Lepisosteus oculatus: one gene and its partners. The protein of the gene in region 1 purifies or fractionates together with the protein of each later gene. This does not show direct contact. Links are inferred from orthologs where the notes say so. Each region holds a gene or a part of one and is shown on either strand. Other genes may lie near its edges. The genes, in order: bag2, sgta, hsf2 and dnajb4.

The links.
Region 2: the proteins of bag2 (region 1) and sgta purify together in Homo sapiens (affinity purification with mass spectrometry; 3 studies listed by BioGRID and IntAct, with this or other methods). This does not show direct contact. The link is inferred for Lepisosteus oculatus from reciprocal best matches to the Homo sapiens genes BAG2 and SGTA.
Region 3: the proteins of bag2 (region 1) and hsf2 purify together in Homo sapiens (affinity purification with mass spectrometry; 4 studies listed by BioGRID and IntAct, with this or other methods). This does not show direct contact. The link is inferred for Lepisosteus oculatus from reciprocal best matches to the Homo sapiens genes BAG2 and HSF2.
Region 4: the proteins of bag2 (region 1) and dnajb4 purify together in Homo sapiens (affinity purification with mass spectrometry; 4 studies listed by BioGRID and IntAct, with this or other methods). This does not show direct contact. The link is inferred for Lepisosteus oculatus from reciprocal best matches to the Homo sapiens genes BAG2 and DNAJB4.

Annotation. Positions count from the first base shown.
Region 1 is NC_090712.1:19,975,831-19,982,656, reverse strand, and holds the start of bag2 (BAG family molecular chaperone regulator 2), read right to left. Parts: upstream 3,023-6,826; 5' UTR 2,567-3,022; coding exon 2,442-2,566; intron 1,456-2,441; coding exon 1,346-1,455; intron 535-1,345; coding exon 140-534; 3' UTR 1-139. Other genes in the region: E3 SUMO-protein ligase ZNF451, read right to left, coding at 4,578-4,618. UniProt on the Homo sapiens protein: Co-chaperone for HSP70 and HSC70 chaperone proteins. Acts as a nucleotide-exchange factor (NEF) promoting the release of ADP from the HSP70 and HSC70 proteins thereby triggering client/substrate protein release.
Region 2 is NC_090724.1:1,363,256-1,370,313, reverse strand, and holds the start of sgta (small glutamine-rich tetratricopeptide repeat-containing protein alpha), read left to right. Parts: upstream 1-4,047; 5' UTR 4,048-4,132; intron 4,133-4,156; exon of another isoform or gene 4,157-4,336; intron 4,337-4,396; exon of another isoform or gene 4,397-4,550; intron 4,551-6,144; 5' UTR 6,145-6,194; coding exon 6,195-6,294; intron 6,295-7,058. Other genes in the region: thop1 (thimet oligopeptidase), read right to left, coding at 1,125-1,331, 3,469-3,481. UniProt on the Homo sapiens protein: Co-chaperone that binds misfolded and hydrophobic patches-containing client proteins in the cytosol. Mediates their targeting to the endoplasmic reticulum but also regulates their sorting to the proteasome when targeting fails.
Region 3 is NC_090697.1:1,720,947-1,727,919, forward strand, and holds the start of hsf2 (heat shock factor protein 2), read left to right. Parts: upstream 1-3,953; 5' UTR 3,954-4,064; coding exon 4,065-4,199; intron 4,200-4,661; coding exon 4,662-4,770; intron 4,771-6,218; coding exon 6,219-6,346; intron 6,347-6,830; coding exon 6,831-6,955; intron 6,956-6,973. UniProt on the Homo sapiens protein: DNA-binding protein that specifically binds heat shock promoter elements (HSE) and activates transcription. In higher eukaryotes, HSF is unable to bind to the HSE unless the cells are heat shocked.
Region 4 is NC_090704.1:3,705,861-3,713,159, forward strand, and holds the start of dnajb4 (dnaJ homolog subfamily B member 4), read right to left. Parts: upstream 3,005-7,299; 5' UTR 2,746-3,004; coding exon 2,535-2,745; intron 1-2,534. Other genes in the region: slc25a24l (solute carrier family 25 member 24, like), read left to right, coding at 4,810-4,835, 4,960-5,083, 5,186-5,312, 5,758-5,845, 6,304-6,415, 7,005-7,163. UniProt on the Homo sapiens protein: Probable chaperone. Stimulates ATP hydrolysis and the folding of unfolded proteins mediated by HSPA1A/B (in vitro).

The DNA of each region.
Region 1 (6,826 bases):
ATGCTCAGTGGAATGTATATGATGCCATCATGCTATGAAATCTTAATTCTTCAGGAGAGTGTTATGTTAAACTCTTATAGATTAGTGAGTGTATAATAGTCGTTATGTTAGCTCTACAGTAACAATAGCACAGGCAGGTTTAGTTGCCATTTGAGGTTTTTGGAAGGTCGACTTTCTGCTGATCCATAATCCTTATGGTTTTTCCTGTGTTGTCCACATTTCGGATCAGAGTCTCCAGCCTTCTCTTGATTTTCTTCTGGTCCTCCAAGGCACAGCTGATGACTATGGTCTGGAACTTCTGATCCACAGGACCCAGGGGTGCCTCAGTGATACAGGCTGCATGCAGAGACATCAGGCGCTTTCTGGCACCGTCCAAGTCATCCAGAACTTTGGAGGCGATCTCATCAATCTCAGACGTCGCCTTCCTCAGAGCTTCCTGCTGCTGGGGGTTACGGATGGTTTCCACGGAAACCTCGACAGTCAGGGTTCGACCAAGCAGGCGGTCTGCGGTCAACGTCAGCTCCTCCCGTTCCCCTGAAAATGGGAAAAAGGGGTCTCTAGAATGAAGACACGGTGTGTGCAGCACAAACAAGATCCGAGGTACACAATGGACAGCTTCACTGATTGACTGATTCTAGGCTGAATTCACTAAAACTGTGCCCTCCTGATTTATTCATTCCTCTGTTGAAAACGGAACAACAAACATCATAAGAAATAATTGTTGATTGTATCTTGTTACAAATATCACTAAAAATGACTTTTCTTTACTTTTTTCAGCAGGAAACTGTCTATTCAGTGTGTGATATTCTTTGTTCCTATTTAAACAGGGGAATTATTAAATCTGGAAGCTACAAAGACAGTTCCTTTATCTCGCACCCTATTGCACTGCTGTCGGTTCAAATGAACATTTTTGATCATCGGATTTTACCAGACTGCAATGGATGGGTTTAACTAGGGTCTAAGAGGACCCCACAATCAAAGAGAATATATATATGTATCTACAGTACATGAAAAATCGATGTTCTTAAAAAAGTGGATCTGCTCTGATAGCACAGTGGATCTGTTGACATGTAGATCTGCCTGCAATATTTTAACAAATAGTAGATTTCTTTGAAAACTAATCACAGACTTCGGCTTGATGTTATATCTAAATTGGGGCATCTGAGAGACTGCTTGAGCAGGATGTCTTGTAGCCAAACGAGGTTAAAGAAACCCTGCTCCAGACTATGTATGCTGCACATGGAAAGGGCGCAGGAAATAAGATCCACGGTTTTCACAGACCTTGTCAGTCTTCACCTGTGTGACAGCTGTCCGTGACCTACAGTGTGACACTCCTCTCACTCACCATCACTGATGGTTCGCATCTCCTGGCTGTTCTTCACAGACTGAATCATTTCCAGCAAACTTTCCTTCTCCTGCTCCATCGCAGTCGCTGCCTCTCGTAAAGCTTCCACTCTGACAGAAGACAACAATGTTTAGTCTGTTTTACTTCATGAAAGAATCGACTGGCCTTAGTAACACATTTTACATTTAATGCTGAAAAACTACACCAATGGGTTTGCATTTTTTCCATTTGAGATCGGCCTATTTAAACAATGCTATTATATTACAGAACAAACTTAGGTTGTGAATATTGGATATGCCTGAGGAAACCAGATGGTTATATTCTTGTTGCAGTTAAGAATTTGTTTCAAATTTAAGTAAAGTAGGATCATTATGTACAAATATATCAACTGCCAAGTGGTGTAAAAATATTTATACGTAGTGTACAGCTAGATCCAGGACAATTATCTCTGCCTCAAAATGTTCTGGACAAAAATCAGAAAACACGTGAACTACATTTCCAAAGAAATACATCCTGCGGTTCTGTAATCTCCTTGTAAAATGACACTCATGTGAGGAATGTGAACCTACTGTACGGTACGTGTTGAACTGCAGCTGTTTGGAAGAAACGGACAGGTCTAGGATTTAAACAGCCAATAAGTTAAATGTTCCGAGCAGTAAAATCACAAGGCAGTGTTGACGAACAGCAGGTTTTCGTATGAAAGTGTGAAGTGGATTGCGCTGAAGCGCAGCAGCCCCGAGAATCCCCAAAAGGGGCTATTTTTAATTTCCCAAGACGGCACGTGGGAGTCGACCCCCCCTTGTCCACCTGTTTTTCATACAATACAAAAATTGAAATATTTGCAAACGAGCTTCAAAACAACAAAGTGTGCCGTTGTTTTCAGATACAATGTATCTCTGAAGACGAGACTAAGCGACAGGACAAGAATGCGGTCTTGGAAACAAGGTGCCAGAGCCCACGAACACAAGAAAGCGGCTCTAAAAAAAACTGAAATACAATCCAGTCAAGACGAGCGAACTTCGGCCGCTGTTCTTTTCATTTAAAACTTTTAAAAATGTTTAAAGTTTTCTAAAACCTCTCCCACCCCAAACATTACCTGAGCTCTAGCTGATCCAGGCTCTCAAGCAGTTGTCCCGATCGATCCGCCATGGACAAGGATCTGCTGAACTTGCTGTTCCTCTCACTTTCATTCATTTTGGCGAGGATCTTAGCTTGAGCCATGGTGCCTGGAAATGCCGATTCCCCGGGAGAGTCGCAGCTCCTTAACCCACTGCTCTCCGATCTTCCCTCTAGGGGCACCTTCTAGCAGTTTCGCTTGCAGCTCGCCGCTCGCAGGCGGCGCCCGTATGTCAACATTTCCAAACATGGGCCGGACCTTCCCCGCCGCCCTCTCCCGGGGAGCAGGCCGAGCGCTCGGCGCAGGGCGGGGGGCTCCAGCACAATCCACTGACCCCGACATCTCAGCCGGTCTCAACCCTGCACAGCCCCAGTTTTCCACGGGGTATCACAGACTGCGCCCTTTGTAGCCTCGGTACATTGTAGCCAAGTTGCCCGTGTGTCTTGTCGTGGATCATTTCAATCAAGCGCAGACGAACGACCATGACTCTCTATGAATTGGAAATATCCTATTTTGACCATTTATGGAACGGCCGCCTTTGAAAAACAGGCATACATATTAAAGCGGAACGACACTGACATTAACCTCCTGCGGTATCGGTGCTCACAGGCTAGCCCAGTATGATACTATAGCGCCCCCGTCAGACCACAGGCTAAATAGACAGGAGAAACCCGTTATATTTTTCATGACAATTACATGGTGATTTTAACATAACCAATTTCCTCATGTTACACTTTAATGTAATACATCACTCATGTAATGGCTTTAATGTTCACATTTTCTGCGCTTTGTCGTACCTCATTCTGTGCCGTTAAATCACACTACAGCATGCCAACATACAGTAGGGAGAAAAACTAGATTTTTTATATTTCTTCCAGCTTCACCTTCGTTTCTTTCAGATTTCATCGGGCACTGCACTCTACTAATATATGTACGCATATAGAGATGACGGCAGAAGCAGAACACGTCTCTGAACCTGTTTAACTTGCACTTGGTTCCTTTATGCACAAAGTGCACACAGGCTATTAATGAACCCGCAGTACTTTATCTGGAATTAGCATGCTTGCTTCCACACATTCCCAACCTGCATTATATAAAAAAAAACAGGACATACTGCTCACAGACCTAAATATATGAATTAAAAACAGCCTGTTCATGTTATAGCGCCAATACAACCTCAATGAAGAATGACAAGGATAAGATTTTATTCCCCCGTCATCTTCTGAATACGATCTGTCATTATTCATTTTACAGAAAAGATTTGGGGTTTTTTTTGCCTGCAGGTGTGTAAAGTATTAAAAATTAATGTATTAAGCAAACAGAGTTAAAGGCTACCTTTTGAAAAATGTCCTGTGCTGTTAAAAGTCCTACACCCAGAGGAAGAGTATTTGTATTTAATCACTGCTCCCACTCCTGAGAGGCCCAAACCGTACAGGTGCACCAGCACAGGTGGAGTCTGTCAGTTCAGACACTGCGGGTTGCAGTCCAAGCGATGTCTGACGATTGTGAGCCAGTTTCCCCAGACAGTGGCACACAACTGGTTCAGGGCTAAACTGGGTGAGTGTGCAGGCAGCTAAGGCATCCTCTGCCCACAGTGGAACAGCGGGCTGGCAGGGAGCTGTCAGGCATGATACCAGCCCTCCTGTAGGCATTTTCAGACTCCAAGTGTGAGGAGAGCGGAGCGTCTTCCCACTGTGCACTTCGAGGAAGTGTGCAGTCTTTACCACCACCACTGCACAGACATGAGGCGGGCTCTATGTGCTTTTATTTTTAAAAATCAAATTGATTCTTCTTAACTAAGAAAAACTAAAAATAGCGGGAAAACCATCTTCAGGAAATCGATCTTCATCTAAATTTACACATTTATACGCTTTATACCTGGAAAAAATAAAATATTTGCTCAATAATAAAACATGCTTAACCTTAATAATAGATTTGTATTTTTATTGAATAATGCTGACTTTAATTATTAACATTCCAACTTAAGAGTCATCAAATAATAATAAACACACATTGCTTTGCTTTTTTTTTTTAAACAGGAACCAGTATTACCAGTTTAAACATTATTCAGGTTCATGGGGGAAAAAAAAAGATCACTTAAAAGTCATCTTTGGATCAGAACTCCTGAAGGCTTCTAGTGATAGCTTCTTCGAGCTCTGCAGAGATAAGGGATAAAAATGAATTTAGCAATAGAGCATAATACACTTGAAAATCATAATGGACTCGGCAAACCTGTGAGCAACAACTGAAACAGAGCAAGTAAACTGAATGTGCATTTCTTTTTTTCAAATCAAAGTCAGATGTCAAGTGGCTAATATGGTCACTACTATACTGTACAACTTGGGAAAACAAAGCTTGCAATATCTATTGAAACTGATCTTTCATTTTACATTCCTAAGTACTGAAGCTCGTTTTGGCTGAGTTCAAGAGTCTCCCTGGATGAGACTCCACGCTTTCTACAGCTGGGTGGGCTGCAGCAATCTGCTTGCTACAACAGTGTCTGCACTGAGAATGTAAATCCACCAGTCAGAACAGATCAGGAACCACCTTACTACCATATTCTGCCACAAATACAGAAATGCTAGTATGCTGACACACTGCAGCTTGGCTTCACCCTGTTCTGATGGATTCTAATCAGAGATTCCGATTTTCAAGCAAAAATCATGTCCAAATCCAGGTGTAATTTATGTTTTTTTAAAATAATAGAATGAATATAGAATAAAACAAACATAAAACAATTAACATTTATACATTGTGTTTTACTTATTTATTTTAGAACAAAATACAAAAACAATGCTTTAATAGAAAGAAATCGTTTGGTCTCAATGTTCTTGCTTTTGTGACCATTACACAGAGTACAGGGGAAAACAACCATTTTAACCTCAAAACTGAAGACAGGAAAATCCCTTAACTCAAATAAACTCATATCAACAAACAGGTGGAAAAAAAAGCAAAAGCCTAAAATCTATTACTCACTGTAAACAAAAAAAGCATTACCGACATGATGATGAAAATTATTTTTTAAAGTCAGCTGAGTGTCAGGTTTGTAATGGTCTCAGGCAGGTGTCTGATTCTGGTCCTGGTGTCTCTTTCAGGTTTGTTAAAAAGTGTGTGTTAACCCCCCTAGTGGTTCTAGTCTTGTATGTTTTACACCTAAAATGCAGTTAGATCTTCATGGTGTGACACCGCAGGGGTAGGGGCCACCACTTGAGCTTGGACTGGTGTGTCCCATGCTCCAGACACGCCTCTTTGAGCTTGCTGGGGAACCTCTTCCACACGTATACACGCACTGTCCTCCGAGAGCGCTGCTCACACTGGCCGACAGACTCCACCACAACCACGGCCTGACGTCACCGAGCCCCTCGTTCACAGTGACCCTGGTGACACACGAGCTTGGGGCCTACAGCTCGCTTGCTCTTCAACCAGGCTGGGTCTCGCACACAGAGCCTGCAGCGCTCAGAACTCCGTCTCTCCCACCCCAAGTCTCTTCAGGGCACCGAGAGCCTGCTGTCCAGACAGCCCCTACTCTCTCCCTAGTACCCTGTATCACACCCAGCCCTCCAGCACTCACTACCTCGAACACACTTACACAGCGGACACCCCAACAGCTCTGCGCCCTGCAAGAGCAGCCTGCTGTCCCTTTAACTGTCACAGGGATCCCTAACTTTACAAAGCCTGCTGGATGGCAGAGATGATACAGACAAGAGCTAATTTTAGCCCTGCTCTGCATTCCAAGTATCTATACATTCAGTGTAAGGATGGCTTTCAAGTCTGATCCAAATGCACAGCTGGGGGACAAAGAAACAGGTGGAAAATCAAATTAAATTGGGTAAACCCCCCAAATAAGAATATCTCATATTAATCTGCCTCTTCGGTGCAAAGGTGACAATGGCAGATCATTCTCCTCAGCACACACACAGAACCCTGTTGTTTCAGTCAACCACATGCAAGAGGACATTGTTTCTGGTGTCTATTTCTCAGTTCTGTACTAGAGGTTTGCTGTGGGAACACTCAGTTAAAAACAGCACATCATCACTGGAACCCACTTTCAATACAAGCATTTACGGACTCATAATGCTAGTTTGTACTTATTTAAGTATATAATTAACAACAATAAAACGGGTAAACTGTATAGCAAAAACAAATGCTGTCTGCATTTTTAGTTTGTATCAGGGTTGGCCAACTCTGTTCCAGAAAAGTCACAGCCCTGGAGCTATTGATCAATTTAGGAAATTGACTTGCAAATTTATCTCTACTCTTAGAAGACTCTCACATTTTCATTCTGAAGTCTTAAAAACTATTAAACAACTCCTTGTTTTGATGTTAAATCAATTCTTGTCTTTGTTAATAATTGATCTAAGAAT
Region 2 (7,058 bases), on another chromosome or scaffold:
ATCCTTAGGACACCACCTTCAGGCTAATTGGACAAATAAAGACTTCATGCATAATAAACCACAAAGGAACAAGTAAAGGTTTATTTGAAAAGAGAAGATAGGAAACACGTTTTGGCTGTGGAGTGTTTCGTTTCCTGTCTTCTCTTTTCAGCAGGAATAACCTAACAAAAAAGGGGAATGTCAGCACTCGGACAAAGGAGATTCTCCCCCCCCCCCCCCAACAACAGATTTACGCCAGGCCTCCAAACAATCAAAACCTCAGAAAAAAATGTATATACTTCCCAGTTCCTTTAACAATACCTATATACAATTTGTTGTCAAACACAGGCAAAGTGTCAGCTACTCTTTATGTAGAAAATGCTGAGCACTCTATACCATTGCCTGCTGCATTCCTGCCAGCTCAGGCCTTTAACAAAGGCTCTGTAGTGGCCTGTGTGTTAAGTGATGTTGCTGTGGGCTTATCTGGACTTATCTGCTTATGCAAACGAGCGTTTTTATTTTAGTCAAGTAAAGTCGCTAAAGAAATCTGCAAACAGATTTTAGAAATCTGATGCCATTTATCCCTTTTACTGACATTTATGACTTCAGTGCTTGTAATTACTGCATGTCATGACAGCATACATTTAATACACTTTAAAACAGTCATGGGCAGGAAACTAACCTACTTCAGCAAGACGTAGTTGGTTTTTCTCAGCACTTGTAAGAGTGAAGGTATTTTTAAGGAATTTTATACCAAATGGCATGAGATTTGTTTACTCCTTTTAGGTTGTTCAGATCCTAGGTCATCATCTGTTCCTTCTGTTTAGATTCACGTGAGGAACCTTCAAGAGTTAACAACACCAGCTTACAATTCCCTTTCCAAATCCCTTATCCGGATATCCTGGTATCTGGACCTGGAGTGAGCACACAGCTTTAGAGACACACGGATTTTCATTTTTAAAGACCAATTAGTGGCCTAACTGAATCCGTTATTGGCTCAGGGAGGCATGATTCCAACTGTTTCTCGAAACCGGCCGAAGCGTGGCTCTCCAGGACCGAAGAGGTGAGCTCACGTTCTGATCGGAAAACCAGCCCACGTGTCCGTGTGCCGCCACGAGCGGAAACGCAGCAGGACGCGTCCTTACCTGTGTACTCCACCTCCACGTCGGCCAGCGCTTTCAGGGCGTTGTCGTAGGTGACGGCCTCCAGCTCCAGAGCCCCCACGGCGTCGTACACGCGCTTGGTCCTCTCGATCAGCTCGTCGGCCAGCTGCCGGATCTGCTCGGGGCTCAGGTCCCAGCGCAGGCGGTTCTCGGCGCAGACCCGCGGGGCGCTGGCGATCACGACCTCACCTGCCGAGGGGGCGGGGGATGGGTCAGGCCCTGCACCGCGCTGGCTAACGCCGGGTCAGGACAACGTCAGGGCAGCAGGACGCTTGCGGACAGGGGCACTGGGGGGGGTTACAGTGTTTCCCCTTCTTGCCTACCAGCTGTGACAAAACAATTCGCTCCGGCTAGGCGGAGCAGAGCAGTGTACCGGCGTGGTCCTCGCTTCAAGAAGTATTTCAGACTCCTGACTGTCATGGTTGTTTCTTGGGCTCGGATACGTCCGAACATGTGCTCGATGATAAACTCTTGCTCCCCCACTCTTCTGCAGCCAAATAGACAGTGCACCAGTAATCATCCCGTGTCTTTTGATAACCTGCTGATGTGTTTTATTTGTACAGTAAAATGCTGAAACCTGCACAACTGTACCTTTGTCTGATGGACTCCGGGTTTATTATGGGGGCATGGTGTGTCACCTTTGATATGACCTTTGACCTGTTCCAACAGAACAGTTACAAACTCCAACTGCAGCTGCTTAGAATGATGAGTACTGTTCACAGCACTAGCGTGTGTGTGGCTACTGCAGGGCAAGAAAACCACTTCTGGATGGGCTAAATGGGCAAAGGCTGTGGCCCCCAATGACAAAAATCGCACGAGACAAAATTTAAAAGCACACAACACAACTCCTTTTTATGCAGAAAAAAATATTAAAACTTTCAGGAAATTCTGGAAAACAAAACAATTAAAGCTGTGGCACTGAAATTGTACAGGGTGACATGCAGTGGCTCATGTCTGCGATGTGCTCCTGATCCATGATGCTTACCAGAAATGAAGAAGTGTGACGTGGGTAATGTAGCCAATCAATCCTCACCAAACCAAACAGCCCTGAAGTTGTGTGAGATGCTGAAGTCTACAGGTTGGCTAACAACCCGTCATCTCTTTTGTGAGACAACGTTAAAACACGATTGCTAAATGTTTTGTTCACAAGCTCAGGCTACTGGAGAACCATATTTAACCATCAACAGTAGCTTAAATTAAACTTTTCTTAGTGCCAGGAGAGGTTTACAGAGGGCACTCCAAAAGCCCAATGATAACCACCCACAGCACATGTCCCTTTGTGTGACCGGAGAGGAATATGCTGACTGACTGACACCCAGAGAAATTCCTTTCAAAACAAAGAACATGCCTGAACTCTCTTAGAGGGACATTATACAGGTGGTGTTTTTAACTGTTCAAAATAACACTTATTAATTATTATCTGTTTTTGCAATTATGGAAAATGTTTAATAGTTTCAAACACTACATAAGCAAACGGAGTTTCAGATCTACTGAATGTCAGTTTTTCGAGTAACTCCTTTCTGGATATAATTTTGTTATACTGTACTGTAGTGCAGGTGGCTACAGAAAAAGACGTGACTGATGCAATTGAATATATGGGTCCCTTTTTTGCAAGACAATCTGTGTAGAGCTTCTTCGTAGCTTAGGTTAGGAGTGTCACCTAAATCACCACTCTTAAATCACGTCCACCTGACACTGACAGATACACTGACACAGTGACATCCGCGAAAAGATTACTCGAGCCGACGATTAGGGGGGCAAGCGAGTTTCATCCACGACCACGGACTGAAGTTTTGGGAAATTCTTCTTTCAAAACAAATCCACCTCGAAAAGAAGGAAATCTACCAACTACTCGAACCTATAGCTTGCCTCCTCAAGTTGACTCCCGTGTTACTCCTGTAATCAAATACCTAAACGCGATTCCCACTTATCTGCTCGGGAGAGCGGGGAGCTGGGACTGCCCGCAGTGAAACTCGTGTAAACAGACTGTGTCTGGGAGGGGTGCCCTCAAGTTCACGACTGCACTTTGCGAGAGCAAATGATTGAGCACGTTATCCCAGCTAGACACACGCCGCCTTTGCCGGACTTTTCAGTGGAAAATATTGAAGTTATTTGAAGAAAAACTGCACTCCATAAAAAAAAATACATTTTAACGTTTTAATTACGTAACCCCCCGTAAAGTAACATAGTACGGTCCGATTTCTGAGCAGCACCCAGTATACAAAAAGCAATTCATCTTGCAAATGAGAGGAGCTCATCAAAGAAATTTAAACTGTGGGTACTTATGGGGACGTAGGTTGACAAAAAAAAAGGTTTAATAACTCACCTGTCGGGGCCATAGTACACAAGGATGAAGTAAATTCGCCCTGCAAATACTCTGCTGAAGAGCTCCGGGTCAGAATGGTGTCTGCTCACACTGAACCACGCTACTACCGGGCTGAGCAGCAGAAACTCGGTGGTTGGCTGGCCATCCTGTCAATCACTCGTTCCCCTGGAAACCGGCGGTCGCTTCCGCTTCGGGGGGCGTTGTTTTATTAACGGTACTTCCGTCCCAGACTCCTGACTGTCCCGTCTGTTGAATTAATTTCACAACAGTGCGGCGGGTCGCCCTGAGCCTCGGTTGCAGGTTACGGCAAACAAAAATAACAGCACACGTCAGCGGCGACTCTGAATGGTCGACCCCGATGGCCTCTGTTTCGCGATTCCACGGCAAAGGCACTTTAACTGTTGTGGGACAAGGTGAAAAAAAATACCCAGCGAAATCAATAAAGAAACTAAAACATAATTAAAAACTAGCAATTATTTAATACAGTCACACACCCGCGCCACATGCTTTCTGTTTTTTGTTTTGCCGAAAACATCTATTTGTTCGAATATAATCGTTCTGGGGGGGGGGGGGGTGTAGGCACGTCCGACGCGTGACGTCAGAGGACGCAGACGGCCGTCACGCAGCGCAGCGCGAGGAAACTGCGGAGAGCCGGAACCGGGAGGTGAGACCCAACTTTTCTTGCTGCCGTTTTCATTAAAACCCGCACGGTAAACGCCGTTGCCCCGAGCGGGGCAGCCCCCCCCTCCCTCCGGCAGACAGCGATCGCAGGGGCTCTGGGGGCACCTTGCAGAAAGGGGGTTGGTAGCGGCGGCGTCATCAGCGAAGCGGCCAGTTTTGCTGTACGCTGCGTTGTCCCAGATTTACGGTAAGGCCGCACGGAGGAGCGGCGGCAGTGCTGGAATCTTCTGTTTGACAAAACTCACAGCCGGCCGAGGTTTGGTCAGACAGGTGGGAAGGACGGCGTCTCTGGTTCGGCTAGATCATCAGACCGCCCGGTCGGATTCACTCGGCACAAGCGCGTAGTCTCCTCTGATCGCTCGCTCGGCGCCGGGCAGAACTCTTTCATCGATTAAAAAAAAGTACGGATTTAAAGAACTGGGCAGACTGACAACTGCGGTCGCCGGGGACTTGTTGAGAATTTGTCTGTTCTGTAGTTTTACGAGACAGTTTTCGTACAGCAGTAGTCTCATATGATGCACAGGTTCGGGGACACAGATCTGCAGAATTGGGAGTCAAGAGCGGCCTTACTGAGTGTACTCAGTGTAGGTTTGGGTCAGTATTCAGTGTTTGAAGTTGCTTCACAGGGTGCGGTTACGATTAATCAATAGTAAAGTTAATTATGCCATTTTCAAGTGCAGTGTATTATAATCCAGCCACAGGCTGTCTGTGTGTACTAGGTACGTGAAAGCTTGGGACGACCTATTAGATCAGCTCAGCGCGTACACGTTCACCTACCGTGACATAACACGTGAGTCACCTTTTTCCGGAACATGCCAGATCCGAAAAGCAAAAGTAGGTTGCTGGTATGAAGGTCCCCAAATAAAACACGTTACTTCGTGTATTGCTACGTCCAGTGCAAGCTATTGATAAAAAGAAATTCATTTTCGCCAGCAGTGTGAATAGTCTGCCATTTTATTTCATACGCATATTAGGAGGATTTACATAAGGAATGTTAGTGCGAGCTGCCGTGCTTTGCTGCTGACGATCCACAGCTGCTCCGTCGTGGTCTTCATTTCTAGACGCGAGAGCAGGCCTGTTCTTGAAGGGTGGGGGGGTCACTCTGAGCCACAGTTCTGGTCTCCTGAACCTGGCCCGGGCTGGTTTGCTCCTTGTTTACTCATGCTCCCATTCATCTGCGAGGAACTGTGCTGTTTCTGGAGGAGTTAATTGGATAATATCAACTCCAGAATAAGCGGTCGCGCACAAAATGTGCATAGCACGGTATGCGTCAATAGACAAAAAAAAATTGTAATGCAAATGATAAAGTTGGTGTGTGGTAACGCCAAGTCAATGCCCTGTTTATTTTAAAGGCTCTTTGTTTTTGTACAATTTGCAGCACGGCTGGCTTGCACATAGGCACCAAGCATCTGCAGCATACTCCTCCTGCTGGTCGTTATTTTTAACCTGATAACTGATGACCTGTCCCCACTGAATATCACTTTCTACACTGGATCGGGTGCTTTAAGTGAGAGTGGGGAGGCTTCCCATTTAATCAAATAGTGTAATGCAGAAGTTAATGGATTCAGTTTCTCCAGAAGAATGTGGGGTTGTAATACCTTATTGCAAGTTTAGGAATCACCTTAGAGTCCAACAGCAGTAGCTAAATGAAGAGCAGTAGTAATCTTTATATTTAGACTTGCTTCTTTTTGTGTGCGTATTTATCAAATGGTGCCACAACCATAATGACTGAGACACCTGTTAATTGGAAAGAGTGGAGCAGTGGAGTTGATTGAGCTCACAGGGCTATTGGCACATGAAAGACAGATCTGTAAGAGAACTGAGAGAGCAAGACTTCTCCATTTATCACAGGGGTAACCTCCTGAGCTGTGCAGGTGTCCTTGATACAGCTGGGTCAGTTGATGCTCTCTGGGTTATCTGCCTTCCTAAAAACACTCATTGGGGACTTGAAGCCCTATTCTTCTCAAACGTTTAAACATGACCGTTCCTTTCCAGAATCTCCAGAAACCTTACCTACTGCCCCAGCCTACCCCCTCAGCTACCAAATGGCAGACACAAAGCGTATCGCATTCTCCATCATTCAGTTTCTCCATGACCAGCTCAACTCGGGGGACTTATCTTCAGATGCACAGGAAAGCCTGGAAGGTAAGACGACAATTTCATAAACCGGTACTGACATTCAGTTTTCATTTTAGGCTGTAGCAGAATTTTAGTGACCTTTGCTTACAGCAGCACATTCCCAGTGGAAATGGCAATAAGTGCAATAATTACTTTGCAATAAGTAGACATCAATAGCCAGCACTGTTTTCAGCATTACAGGACAGTGCCCTCCTCTGTGCTGAATCTGCTTTCACTGGGAGCCTTTTGCTCCTGGGCTCTTGTGAGTGCTGGTGGAGACGAGGCTGTCACAGACAGGTGTTTTCAGTTCTGGTTACAGTGTGAGAAGGTGCCACTTGGGGGTGGCACATGATTGGCCATGCCAAGAGAAGCTGGGACAGGGTCACACGTGACAGGTGTCATCTCCACTTTGGATTGTAACTCGTCCTGCTGTACAGACTACCCTAGTCCAGGAGAGCCCCGGTCCAGCCAGACTTACAAACTGTCTCTGGCGTTTGGAAACAGTACCTGTAAATTATTAATGACTTAAGCTAGTGATTGCTTCAATTTAAAATACTCTGGCCCTCGGGGCTGGAGGACACTCACATTTCATCCCAAATGATTGTTAAATAATTTGACAAATAGCCTACTTAACTGATTGCCATTTAATTGTTCATACTCTTTTGAAATTGGTGGTTTAAGATTGAGCTGTAAAATGTACTGGTTTGAGGCTCTCCAGGAGCAGGATTGCAATTGATCGCCTGCAATTGAGTTTTACGTAAAATACAGCTGCACTCTTTTTCTGATATAAC
Region 3 (6,973 bases), on another chromosome or scaffold:
ATTTTTGGTCTCTCTTAAACATTAAATTTAAAGCATTACCACCAACGCAGCATGCTCTTGTCACATCTCAGAAGCTCAGCAAGGCTGAACCTGGCCAGCACTGGACTGAGAAACCTCTTGCTGTTGTTTTGAAGTGTTTGTAAGTGTTGTCTGTGGACCAGTATGTCTCTTCCCTCTGGAGCTGAAATTTCAAACCAGTGACCCAGTATGGAAATCCATCACCTCAACTCAAGTATTCTCTCAAACAATCTGTTTTCTGTACATTCGATATTTAATCTGTTATACTGTGTGTTCTGGCACAGAGAAATATATATATATAATAATAATAATAATTATAATAATTGCTTACACTTATATAGCGCTTTTTTGGACACTCCACTCAAAGCGCTTTACAGGTAATGGGGATCCCCTCCACCACCACCAATGTGCAGCCCCACCTGGATGATGCGACGGCAGCCATAGTGCGCCAGAACGCTCACCACACATCAGCTCTCAGTGGGGAGGAGAGCAGAGTAATGTAGCCAATTCATAGAGGGGGATTATTAGGAGGCCATGATGGGGTAAAGGCCAGGGGGGAAATTTGGCCAGGACACCGGGGTTACACCCCTACTCTTTTCGAGAAGCGCCCTGGGATTTTTAATGACCACAGAGAGTCAGGACCTCGGTTTTACGTCTCATCCGAAGGACGGCGCCTGTTTACAGTATAGTGTCCCCTTCACTGTACTGGAGCATTAGGACCCACATGAGCCGCAGGGTGAGCGCCCCCTACTGACCCCACTAACACCTCTTCCAGCAGCAACCTTAGTTTTTCCCAGGAGGTCTCCCATCCAGGTACTGACCAGGCTCACACCTGCTGAGCTTCAGTGGGCTGCCAGTTGTGAGTTGCAGGGTGATATTTTATTAAAATGCAAATATATACACACTTAGTCCAAACACACACATTACTTTGAATGTTTACTCCCTGCAATTCCAGAAGTAATCTTTTATAGTCAGCTTTATTGGAAGCCAAAAGAAACCTGGAATGTGGTATGCAACATCAGACAGTATGCTACAGTATGTATGTGTCCATTATTGTTGTTGCTCCTCTCAAGTACTCCAACAAAGTACTTAAGGAAGATCTACCTTTTGTAACCCCACGTTGACCACAGTATCTCTTAGGATCCTCTTGCCTTGTTTCTGATTCTTCTTCCACACCCTTACAGGTATCAGGAACAACACTTATGTCCAAGTCAGACTTCAGTTCTTCAGTCTGTTTCCGACAGCAGGTGTTTGAATTGGCTGTGAACGGAAAGTGTGCTGTTGGTACCGATCTCGACAATCCAAACACTGACAACAACAGCTGCAAGCTCACCTGCCTTTGCTCGGTGTTCCTGCTGCGCAGTACTGTATATCCCAGCTGCAGTGCTCCTGAGAATGAAGTCTCCAATAACCACCACTTCTCTTTTTGCATGCTATAGTACTAGCAGGATGTGTAGTTGGTATCAGTACACCAGGGCCTTCTGGTGCAGCTCACAAAGTCCAAAGTGCATTTTGGATTCCCACTGTTAAGATACACATTTCTATATTTGTAGAACACAAAACTATTAAATCCCTTCTGAAAATGCAGTCGTTACTCTAGACAACTATCTTCCATATGAGATTGTATATGTGTTCATTCTACAAGTTAATTTCCTATATTTTATTTTCTAAATATTACTATCTTTTGAAGCTTTCCAGAATTACTTTGGTATCCCATACCACTCATATACTGTAGCCTAGCATTTTCTATTTCCATAAAACCACAGTTAGCATTATACTGCCTCAACTCCAGAGACTGTAAGTCATAGACAATAAGTGACAGAAAATGTCAGCGGAATCGGCCTATGCTGCAGATCATTGTTAAAACACAGTTTCAAAGCAATGCATTACATGGAAATGTTTGTGAGTTATCAATATTTTTCATGTGTACTAAAAAGAGAAAGGTATCTTACATCCATAACACCATATTTTCTAACATTGAGGGTGTTGGGCATGAATACTTCACATCATTAAGGTCCTAAGACCAATGTCGACACAATGCTGTTTAACTTCCCCTGTCATCGTTGCAGGTGACCTGAAGTCCACAAGTTCCACCGGTGTGATATTGGATATAGTGCTGACAGGCATCAGTCATCTCACACTCTTACCTCTGAGACTTTTGCGGGGATTTCAGGTTTTATGGGAAGTGGTTACTATTACACTTACGCTCGACTTGTGAGCCTCTTCATAAATCTGCATCAATGCTTTAGGCTCTTCAGATGGAAAGACACGAAAGTCTGAATAAAACATTTAACTGTCAAACTGAATCACAAAGCCTTGTAGCATCATCTCAGACCCACTTATGCTGTTTTCGGTGAAGTATAAAAATAAAATCAACTTCTCACCAGGAAAAGTCATCATAATTGGGATTGTTTTCTAAACGCTTGGTCTGCACTAGAAACTACGTTTTTCTGTAGTCCCTAAACATGCTACTGCATTACTGCTCGCTTTAGAAACGGTCTAGACATTTTGATGTATTACAAAATAAGTAGTCTACAGTAGTTTTACATTTGAACAGGTAAAGGTTTATTCCATGCTGAAAGAAATAGCAAAGACACATGACGTTTCGGCTGCGGAGCCTTCTTCAGGTGTGATATGCCTTACACATGTGTAATATTTTCATTGCAAGGACAGTATTCATTTAAACACGATTACCTTTCTTAACTTCCATAGCTGTGTAATTGACATTGATGCACCCCACCCGTACTTTAAATCACCACGGTCTGAGGTGTTTGCCAAATTAAAAACAAAACCCCGCTAGCCGGAGTCCGCCTTCACTAGACGCTGAGGTCTGTGTGTGGAAGCAGTCAGTCCCACCAGGGCAGGAGAAACACTACCCGGCTGTCTCGGCAGTGCTGTGACCCACAATGCAGCAGCACTCTGCACACACAGACAGCAGGCTCGCGTGCCTCCGCCTGCGTCATCAACACCACCTGCCTTCTTTATCCAATCAGCAAGCGGCCGCGGGGCAGGCCCCTCCCTCCGACACGTGAGGCTCGCAAACGCGCCGCGCCATTGGCTGTGCTGGCCGGCCGCGCAGAGCGCATTGTTGTTACACGTGAGGAGCCTTACGTAAGGTAGCCGGGGCACCAATCGGCAGCCGCGGTTCGGGCCGGAAGCTGTGCTCGGGGTTTTCTCCCCTCCCCCCTCCGCTGCGGGCCCGGAGTACTCGCTTGAGCCCTGTGCTCGGAAGCAGCGCTGCGCTCCCCTCGTCCGCCCGCACCATGAAGCAGAACTCCAGCGTCCCCGCCTTCCTCACCAAGCTGTGGACCCTGGTCGAGGACCCGGACACGAACGAGTTCATCTGCTGGAGCCAGGTGAGTCCGGGCCCGCGTCCGTCTGGGCAGCCTGACAGAGAGAGAGAGACTGAGCGGGGGAGCAGGGGGCTGGAGGGAGCCCGGTCTAAACTGGTCGCAGTCGAAAAGAAAGAAAAAAACGTAATGAGGCGGCTTCGGTTCGGCCTCGGACCTCTCGCTGTTTCCCGAGGGACGGCCGGCTCTTGTATCCTCCGCGCCGTTTCCAAGGCGACCGCGTTACGTGGCTGTTCTGCGAAGGCCCGCGGCGCCGTGCTCCGAGCAAGCGCTGCCGGCTGCTTTGCCACTCGAGGCGAAGGGCCGAGCTCAATGTGGCAGTTGGCCGGGAGGTCAGATAGGGGGCCCCATGATGAAGGCGCGGGGGCGCTCTGTGGTGCCGGGCCGGAGCGGTACCGGTACCGGTCCCGCTGGCTCGGGGAGGTAGCTCACCCTGCAGCCGCCGGGGGAGGAGCGGGTCTGCGTTCAGGAGGGAAGTGGGTGACGTTTGTTGCCGAGTTGAGCAGCGCTACGTTGGACAGGAATGCAAGCAGGCTGTTCTTGTTCCCTGAGCTGACCTCCGAAGAATTAAAGAGCGGATTTATTTCTGTTCATTTCAGTGCATAGCATGCTGGGAGTGGGGAGGTTTGATGCAACATCTTAAATTTGATTGGAAGTGTTTGGACCATAAATGTACCCTCCACAGCCAGCTTCCTGATGGGGTGTGTGCGCCACACTAGAACACCTACCCTTGCTATTGCCTCAAATTCAGCTTGGAGAAGTCTGTCCTTGCCTCTTGACCCCCCAGTCTCTTGCAGGACTTCGGCGGACGAGAGCATCAAAGGTTTATATGTAAGGAATTACACGGTGGGGGAAAAAAAACACCTGTGTGTTTTGGGGCACTAGCGTAGAGAATGAGGGTCTCCTTTTCTAGAAGCTGCTCGGTGCCATCGGTAATATAGCTGCAGCTGCTCATGCTCTGGGAAAGTGTGTGCGCCTGCATTCTGAATATGGATTAATGTAAACTCGGAGAAATAAAATGCCATGGATACATGATGTCAAATCATGGTAGTTAATACACTTCAAGACATGCATAGGATATTTTCTTATGATGGGCTGATGTAATCTGCAGTTTAGCTGTTCAAGGTGTATTTTGGCATTTGATTTTGAATGAAGTGTAAAAATATTTTTAAGCTCTGTGGGAACTTGATGCATGAAAACTGCTTCCCCACGGCAATGTGATTTTTGTAATCCATCATCTTTCTGACCAGATTTTCGTTAAAGTAAGCATGGACTTTCTTGTTTGTTTTAAAGGAAGGTAACAGCTTTCTTGTGCTGGATGAACAGCGATTTGCCAAAGAGATTCTCCCCAAATTCTTCAAGCATAACAATATGGCAAGTTTCGTCAGGCAGCTCAACATGTGTAAGTACTTTTCACGGTCACAGATGTTTTTCTTACGTTAGGTTGTCAATACTGGAATTAGTTCAGGTGGGGAGCTGTGTCGGCATGCGTGGGCTGCAAAGGAACAAGTAACAGGCTTATTCCCTGCTGAAAAGAAAGAAAACAACGTTTCAGCCGTGGGGCCTTCTTCGGGTGTGGGAGACAGAATTAGACAAGTAAAGTATTCCCTGTGAGTATGTGCACTGTACATGTAAACAAATCATGAGGTCACTCAAGGAACAAGTAATTCCAGGCTGAAAGTAGAAAGGATCAACCCACACTTCTTCAGGTTCGTAGACATTTAGGAGTTAATTCATAATGATTTCTTTGCTGAGATGTAACCCGCTGCTGAAAGCATGATTGTGTACAGTATGTCGTGAAGAAGGCTGAAATGTTCCTCCTTTATTTGTTCCTTTGCAGCAGCACATGCTGACACAGCTCCCCCCTCAAATGCCATTTTACGCTGCTGGCATCTCTGTCAGAGTTGGCCTTTTTGGGGAACGTGCACTGACCGCAACCTGCTCCCTAGGCGTACAAGTTGAGTCCTTTAGTCCGGTTCACAGACACACCTCTGAGTTTCATTGCCAGGGGGGCACATGACTGGACCCCAGCAGGCTCATGGGTTTGACATGACCTGGGTAATTCTCAGCTTGCTCGTGCTCACAATGCCTCTAGGAATTGCCCGGGCACCTGTGAGCCAGCCTGTACCTTAATGCTGGAAGTTGGGGGAGAAAAATGAGTAAAAGCAAAAGGGAATAGGCAAACCAGAAGTGAAAATAGTGTTTTTTTTGTTAAAAGTAAAGAGCAGGGGAACTGAAACCCCTTCAGAGTAGGATGGAAGGAGCAACAAAGTAGCAGATCTGGAGACCTGGCTTCCTCAGTGTTTGTCTCGGAGTGAAAGTCAAGAACCCATGTCCAGTTATGGAAAACCAATACGGACATCATTACTTGAGGCTGTCGAAGAGGGAAAGCATATGGCTGAAGGATATCAAGATGCATGGGGATTGTTGAGTACCCTGTATTATCTGAGGAATTATGTCAAGTCACAGTTCTGGAAAAAGATCTGTTTTAATATTCATCAATTATTTTCAAAACATGTATTATTTAAACTTTTATTTATGTAGTTAATTTTGCTTTAGTTGGGGGTTTTGAATTGAGTGAGTGATTTGAGGGGTATTTTTTTGCACTATCATACATGCATATCATACATATCAAGAGGGTTTTAAAAATTCAAAAATATCTACATGATTTTAATAAAGATTTCTGGAGAGCAATGGGGAAAAAAAAGAGGAAATAAATGTGAACCAGGATTAAAAACATGTTAAATTAGATTCATAGGTCAGAAAATAATCAATTATGTTAAAGAGAGCTAAAATATTGCATTTTATGTCAGTGCAGAGGGCTTTTAAAGAGGACAAACTGTCTTGCAGATGGATTTCGCAAGGTAATGCACATGGACACTGGCATCGTAAAACAAGAACGTGATGGACCAGTTGAATTCCAGCATCCATTCTTCAAACATGGGCAGGATGACCTGCTAGAAAACATCAAAAGAAAGGTAAGAACAAGGGCTTACACTTTGAACTTATTGCCTTAAAATGTGAGAAAATAGCCTCACAAAGCTCAAAACTGCTTTAAGAAAATTGAAATAATGTGCACGATGGGTTTCTAATTTTACACCCTGCCACCTTTAGAATCAAATGGCCTACTTTTGTTTGTAATTAACTTTAGTCTTTGCTAAGTACAAAATCCAATTAAGGTTCTGCTTATGTAGCCCATAGCTCCTGTTTAATTTTAATTATTTTCAGGCAAAACTTCATTTGTCCCCTCTAAGTAATCTAACAGTTTTCTTGTGTTCCTCAGATATGGCCAAATCCACCAGAGGTTTATTTGTGAATGGATACCATTCTAAAAGGTCATTCACAATCCATACCTGCAAATTGAAGCAAATGTATGTAAAGCAGGAAGAGCATTAGAATTGTTGAGTGAACTTCAGTTAACTTAGTTTTATCTTAAAGTTGTGATTTTTTTTCTTTTTGTAGGTTTCGTCAGCCAGGCCTGAGGAAAATAAAATACGTCACGAAGACCTCTCTAAGATCCTGTCCAACGTTCAGAGTGTTCATGGCAAACAAGAAAGTCTTGATTCGAGACTCTCAACACTGAAAAGGTAACAGAATGACCACTG
Region 4 (7,299 bases), on another chromosome or scaffold:
CCGCGGGGCGGTGCTCCGAGCGGTGCACGGCCAACCGGGTGTGGGGCACTTCGGCGGTAAAAAAACCCTGCAGCGTCTCCGAGGCCATTTTTATTGGGGTCTTTGCCACCGGGACGTGGATCGGTACTGCCGAACGTGTGCGGTGTGCGTGGCGCAGAAGGGTCCCCCCGAGCGCTCTCGGGCCCCCCTCCAACAACACCAGGTGGGGGCTCCTATGGAGCGGGTGGGAGTGGACGTTTTGGGCCCGTTTCCGCGCACCGAGGCCGGGAACCGCTACGTCTTGGTGGCTATGGATTACTTTACGAAGTGGCCGGAGGCCTACGCCCTCCCGGACCAGAGTGCCCCCACGGTGGCCGATGCACTGCTGGAGGGGATGTTTGCCAGGCTGGGGGTGCCGGAGGAGTTACACAGTGACCAGGGGCGTAACTTCGAGTCCCAGGTCTTCGCCAGAGTGTGCCAGCGCCTGGGGATTACTAAGACGCGGACCACCCCGCTGCATCCCCAGAGCGACGGGTTGGTAGAGCGGTTTAATCGGACGCTCGCCACCCAGCTGGCCACCCTGGTGTCCCGGCACCAACGGGACTGGGACCGCCACCTCCCCCTTGCGCTCTGGGCGTATCGGACCGCGGTCCAGGAATCCACCGGGTGCACCCCGGCCTCGCTCATGCTGGGCCGGGAAATGCGAACACCGGTGGACCTGGTCTTCGGCCTGCCGCCCGGAGACGGGTCGGCACCGCCGGCTGGACCGGACTACGAGTGGGACCTGCGGCAGCGGATGCAGCGGGTGCACAGCTTTGCACGGACCCACCTGACACAGGCGGGGGTCCGGCAGAAGCGGTACTACGACCTGCGCTGCAGGGGGCCTGCCTTCCAGCCCGGGGACTCGGTTTGGGTGTACAACCCGCGGCGCCGCAAAGGCCTCAGTCCTAAGCTGGCGCCGTCGTGGGAGGGGCCCGCTGAGGTACTCGGGGTGGTGGGCGAGGTCTGCTACCGTGTCCGGTTGCGAACACGGGGGAGAGTGGTGGTCCTGCACCGAGACCGCCTGGCCCCCTACCGGGCCCGGGAGGAGGAGCCGTGTGGGGAGGCTCCAGAGGAGCAGCCGGGGCCGGAGCCGGCCGATAGTGGGGCGTCCGTGGATCGCCAGCCGTCACCGCGGCGCAGCGGCCGCTCACGCAGGGTTCCGCAGCAGTTGGCCGAATACGAGTACAGCCTGAGGGGGGTGTTCGACGTCGGCGAGACGCCAGACGCTTCAGGTGGGGGCAGTGTAACGCCCTCGCCTGGTGGTGAGGAGGAAGCGCCCCTAGGCGCTCGTAGTACCGCTGGGCATGCTGGGAGTGGTAGCCGGGAAGAGTCTGAGGGTCAGCACGATGACCAGCGGCTGACCCTGCCTGTGTAAATAATGTCCTAGTAATTCTAGTGCCCTGTGTAGTCCTGTAAAAGTAGAGTGTGTTGTTAGGTAATTACCACCCTAAATGTGTGTACGTGTTCGTCAGACTCCTCATGTTTGTGTAGATCCTGTGTTTGGTTTTGGTGTGGTTGTAAAATAAAGCCAGTGCTTGGTTAATCGCGTCTCCACTGTTCTTTAGTTCTGAGAAAGAACCTGCAATACGCTACAAAAGAAACATTAAAATAAAGAAACATTAAACCTCGCTGCAGTGAGCCACCAATTCTTTCATCACCTGCCGGGAGTGGCTGAAGACTTACTTTACTCCCAGAACACACTTCTGACCCTGGGAGGTAAAGACGCTCAAGTACTTCTACGATAAGAAGGCAAGTCGGGTATACTGTATATTACTGGACACAAGAGGAACACCAGTACGCGGGGAACAGTCTTTGGGGGGTGACGATGGAGATCTGGGAGCTACTGTCCTCCTATCTCGGACTTTATTCTGATTGATGGTCTTCGCCAGTACAAGGGGGGGAAACTACCCTCTTTCCCAGAGAAGACGAGACGCGTTTCCCCCAGATCCGAGAGAGCGGCGGCGAGATGTATGATCCAGCTACGCAAACCGCTACAGCTTTCCGCTCGGCCACCAGCAGCAGCACCAGCCAGCAAGCTCCAACATAACACCCCCGAAATAAACAGCCTGTGGGTCCCATTCCAGGGACCCCGGCCAGTTGTGTCCTTTTACTGTTGCTAAACAGGGTGGGATACACGCTCTGATCCTTCGGGATCATTCTACGACGTTCTCCTGACAGGATATTTTATTGCCGTGTTGTGCCTCCCCCCTTGAAAAACGGCAAAACCACATTAAATTGAAAAAAAAGCCGGTTTTCCTCCTGCTGTTGGCGAAGTGCGGTTTAATCAATGTTTCCGCTCTGCGGCGTTTTATCTTGTGCGGCTCAAATCAAGGGAAACGGACAGGCTTGGATGTAAAAGGAGAAACAAAACCCCCCCAAAAAAACTCCGAAAGTATTTCTAATCCTGAAATGCAATTAAAACGATCCGGTAACAACAAACCACACCGAAACGGGGAGGGAGTTGCGTTGGCAACATCTCCACATACGAGATATTTATATATATATAACCTCACCTTCTTCGCCAAACTGGTCGTAGATCTCTCTCTTCTTGGGGTCGCTAAGGACCTCGTACGCCTCCGCGATTTCCTTGAATTTCTCCTCCGCGTTCGCGGCCGTGTTTTTATCGGGGTGCCATTTCAGGGCTTGTTTGCGGTACGCCTTCTTGACGTCCTCGTCCGATGCCCCCCTCTGGATCCCCAAGATCTTGTAGTAGTCCTTCCCCATTTTCCGCGCAGCCCGGGAGCCCGCGATATCCTAAGGATATAAACCCGCTTTATAGCAGCCGCTGGCAGGCAGAGAGCGGTGGTGGACAGCAGATGCTAGCCGGGTGCTGCCGCTCTTGAAATCGGGGATATTCACTCTCCTCCAAGCCCTGTTTGTGTCTGTACAGCTTATTGCTTCGATACTTATGCCCTTGTGTTTGCTGGTGCGTCTCTCTCTCTCTCTCGGCGTGCTCCTTTAAATAGCCGCGTCTCTCTCCCCTATTGGTACTCGCCGGAACCCAGTGGCTCTTTCTAGAAAGTAGTAAGTGCTGATCATTGCACGTCATTTCCCATATAAAGCTTACTTTTTTAGAAAAGTCGTTCGCAGGGAGAAAAAATAAATTGATGTAGGCTATCCGAAGTTTTTTTTTTCTCTCCTTTAGGCAAAGGTTAGATTATTTCATCGTTTTGATTGACGGGTTTACCTGAACTCGAAACGCCGAAAGAAACGTTGACAAAGGCCCTCAGTGAACATGGGGGTTTGTAGGATCTCCCCTCGTTTGTGTGGGTCTCCCCCTGCAGTCCAAAACGTACTGGTCCCAGTCCCAGTCCAGCCTCCGACATGCTTAAAAGCTCCAGGGTCTGAGCGGTGGACCGCCATACGTCTGGAAACACCGGAGACTCATGTGAGGTTTTTGATGAAATAAACAACGGATCTGTTCAATTAAGAGAAAGGCACTCAGATTATGGTCCCCGATGACATAATTTAACACATCATATGCCCAGGTGATCCCAATGACACGGATCTTTAGCTATAGGTGATTTAAAGGTGGAGCCTTTCTACAGTAGCACAGTCCAGTCACAGAGGATATAAGTAAGATATTTGCACAGGTACAGTCTTAGGTGTCCCCGATCTCAAAAGATCAATCTACCCTTTGTGTAATCCGCCAATGAGCTGCTGAAAGGAAAAATCATTTAACGCATTCTTTAGGTTACTCAAGAGTGCCTACTCAGTCATGAGGTGGATGTGTAAACCCTGTATCTGGTGGGCTCACCTTTCCCATCCATATGTTAAAATGACAGCACCCCTAACAGGTAACTCAAGCCCACAACAGATTCTTCAACGCTGTGAAAATGTGCACTCTAAGCTTCTCTGACGGTGTCAAAGGTAGTCATGATCCCATCTTGACATCTGTATTTTAATTCCTGGTAACTGTTCCTCTCGTGAGCAGCAACCTAGGCTCAACATCATCACTCAGCAGCACGGCCAGCACGATTGACCATTTCATCTCCTCCACTGACATCGGCCCTGGATGTGTGGTTTCATTCGGGAAACAGCGAGTTTTGTTTTATTTTTCACTTCATTAAAAAAACAATCATGGATGAAGTTTTACAGTTACTACGGTACATGCATCCCAACATTTAAAAAAAAAACGCAAATTCTACATTTGTGGGTGAGTGATATATAGATTTTATGTGTTGCGTCCTAACATCATATCCTAACTTTATCTTAATAATAATAATAATAATAATAACAATAATAATAATAGTAAACTTTATTTTATAAAGCGCCTTTTAAGGTGGCTTCTCAAAGCGCTTTACAGGATGACAACAACAATAAATAAGAAGAATACACAAGATACAACACAGTTACAATATAGAGAGGAGACCGTGGATGGTGGTACTAGGAAAAGCAGAGGGGTGAAGAATGGAACCAGTTCAGTAAAGGCTTTTCTGAAGAAGAGGGTTTTAAACTAGGTCAACGTTTCTTCACATCCATAAGCTCTGCTGTTCTAAAAAAAAAACATATTATGTTTTGCAATTGCGACCTACTACTAAACGCAATGTTGTCTCGTTTGAACGCAATAAACATTTGTTTCCTCCATGGCGCTAACAGGCTTCCGTAGCCGGCCCTCACCTGGGAGACTCACCAGCAGGCTGCCCGGGACCTTCCCCAGTTCTCCACACAGTGCCCCCTGCCGTCCGATCGGGGCAAGAGCACTCGGTATTCACAGGGATCGCGTTGACTGAGCTGGACCTGGCTGCGGCACTGAAGACGAAAAATTGCTATTCAGCCTCTCCGAAGATGACTCAGCATCCGTCACCCAAAGGGTACGCTACACCTGCGCGATGAACAATAATTTTAATTTTTAATTTGCACGCCTTTTGCTACTCAGCATCTCGAGTGTTATGATGAGACATATCTCTAATGATAACTGTTATTTCCTTTGCGAAGCACGCAGCAGTTCCGCAGCCTGTTCCTTCGACTAGATGCCAATAGCGATGGTTTCATCGCCGTAGATGAGCTCCGCAAAGAAATGAAGAAAATCGGAGTTTCGGCCGCAGAGGAGAAGGCTCAGGTATGAATTGCTGAATGCCGACCTTGACACACGGTATTTTCCTGCCAGGTGTGAAGGTTAATCCCATGTCGTGTCTGCGCTTTTTAAATTGTGCCATTCCAGGCTATCCTAGGCGACTATGACCTGAATAACGACGGGCGTTTAGATTACGAGGAGTTCCTGACCTACATGATGGACAGGGAGAAGAAATGGAAAATAAACTTTCAAGTCCTTGACAAAAACAACTGCGGTGAGTTGGTGACGTTTGAACGATTCTGTACAGGTTGTGCAAAAGTGAAGAAAGTGTAATTTGCCGGCGGGGGGTTGGAGTTAAAATTGTTGGTGCTTTAGTCAAAACCAGAGGGGCACAACTGCAGTCCAGATCTCTTTAAACGTCCATCTGTCCATTTTCTAACCACTTCATCCAATTCTGGGTTCCTGGAGAGCCAGGGCATATCCCAGCAAGCTACTTAATTAAATATCAATCATCATGTATCTCGCCATCCGTCAATACAGTTGTGTTATTTCCTGCTGCAGTGGGATCTGGTATTTATTACCCCTTCGTCCTAGAAAAAAAAAAGACCCTTTCCAAAGGACACAGTTCGTTCCAAGGGCAAACAGCAAAAGGAAGATTTCTGTCTTGAGATTTTTGCTCAACTGTTTTGTATTCATATTCATTTCTTCTCTGTGACTAGGGGTCATTGACCAGGAAGATATCATAGATTTGTTTAAGGAGTTAGGAGTGGTCATTTCAAAGCAACATGCAAAGAAAATAATACAAATGTAAGATCTGTTGCCACTTTTTAATATTTGACTGCTATAAAAGATTTATTGCCTTTGATCCATCAGTTACGAAGCATAGAACACATGTTTGGTGCTAAAGGCGTCTTTTGTGTTACAAAAATTCTCCTGTATGCACATAAAACCTGGGGAAAAATATGTTTCATAAAGCTTATGTAATATTGTAATGCTATTGTAATGCCATAATCAATGTCTATGGAAATGTAAACATAATACAGCAATTACAGCACATAACCGAACACCTTAATGACATATAATATAGTTTATATAATAAATAAAGTTTAAACGTACAGTTACAGTAGTTGCCATAGCAGAATAAAACAATATATTTTATGTGCATAGTGCCACAGAATAAACGCTTTTAATAAACAACAACCTGTAGTCATGTAGTAGCAACACTTGAGGAGATTTCCTTCATGGTTTCTCATGGTTTCTCATAGGATGGACTGTGACAACTCCATGACAGTGGACTGGAATGAATTTCTGCAGCACATCATTTTAAACCCCGCTGAGGACATTGCAGAGCTTGTTTCTTCTTGGAAGCGCAGCATGGTAAGGGCTACATTGTGAAGCACCTTGTTCCTAATCGCAAAGGAAGTCAGTGTAGTCTTACTTTGCCTAATTATACTGTACATACAGTATATAGTGTATATGCAAGTGGACTGTGAAAACTGCACTGTGGAGCAATTCAGTTTGGCATACAGTACATACAAACACAGCCATGGACGAGCTTCTATCCTGCCATGAACAAAGAAGGTATTCACCAGAGGTATGACAACAGACATGCAGAGAACTCTATATCCTAGGACCCATCCTCTGTGGGACTGCTGCTCTTGTTAGTATCTCATGTGTACTGTCACTGGAATGTGTTTTTAGTTCAGTATACACTGTATCTTCACCAAATGTGATTGGTTCACCTCGTCCATTTTTCCTCATCAATTTGTCTCCACAGGCAAAAATAACTTCATAAGCATTCTGAATGCAGTCCAGTAGTCTTCTTGTGTCATGTCCCACCCTGCTGTCCCTTTGTGCCTCCTGCTGCCACAGTTGTTCCCCTCCCACAGGCCAGAGATCCCGAGTCTCCAGGATAGAGATGGACTGCGATGGCTGACGTATGTAAAATCTCGTGCCGTGTCAACAGGTGTTCGACGTGGGAGAAAGCCGGCCTCTGCCCATGGACTTCACACGGGAGGAGACAGACTCTGGAGCCTGGAAGAAGTACATTTTAGCTGGAGGAATAGCAGACGCGGTGTCCAGGACCGTCACTGCGCCAATCGATCGAATAAAAATTCAGCTTCAGGTAATTGAGTGCGATGCCTTTCAGTGCACGCACACAGATGCGCTGCATTGAGCTGCAGTGACGCACCGTGTGTTTTTCTTGTTGCGTGGGGTGTACTGAATTAGTTGACAGGCCAGTGCCTTTGGACTCCTCTTTA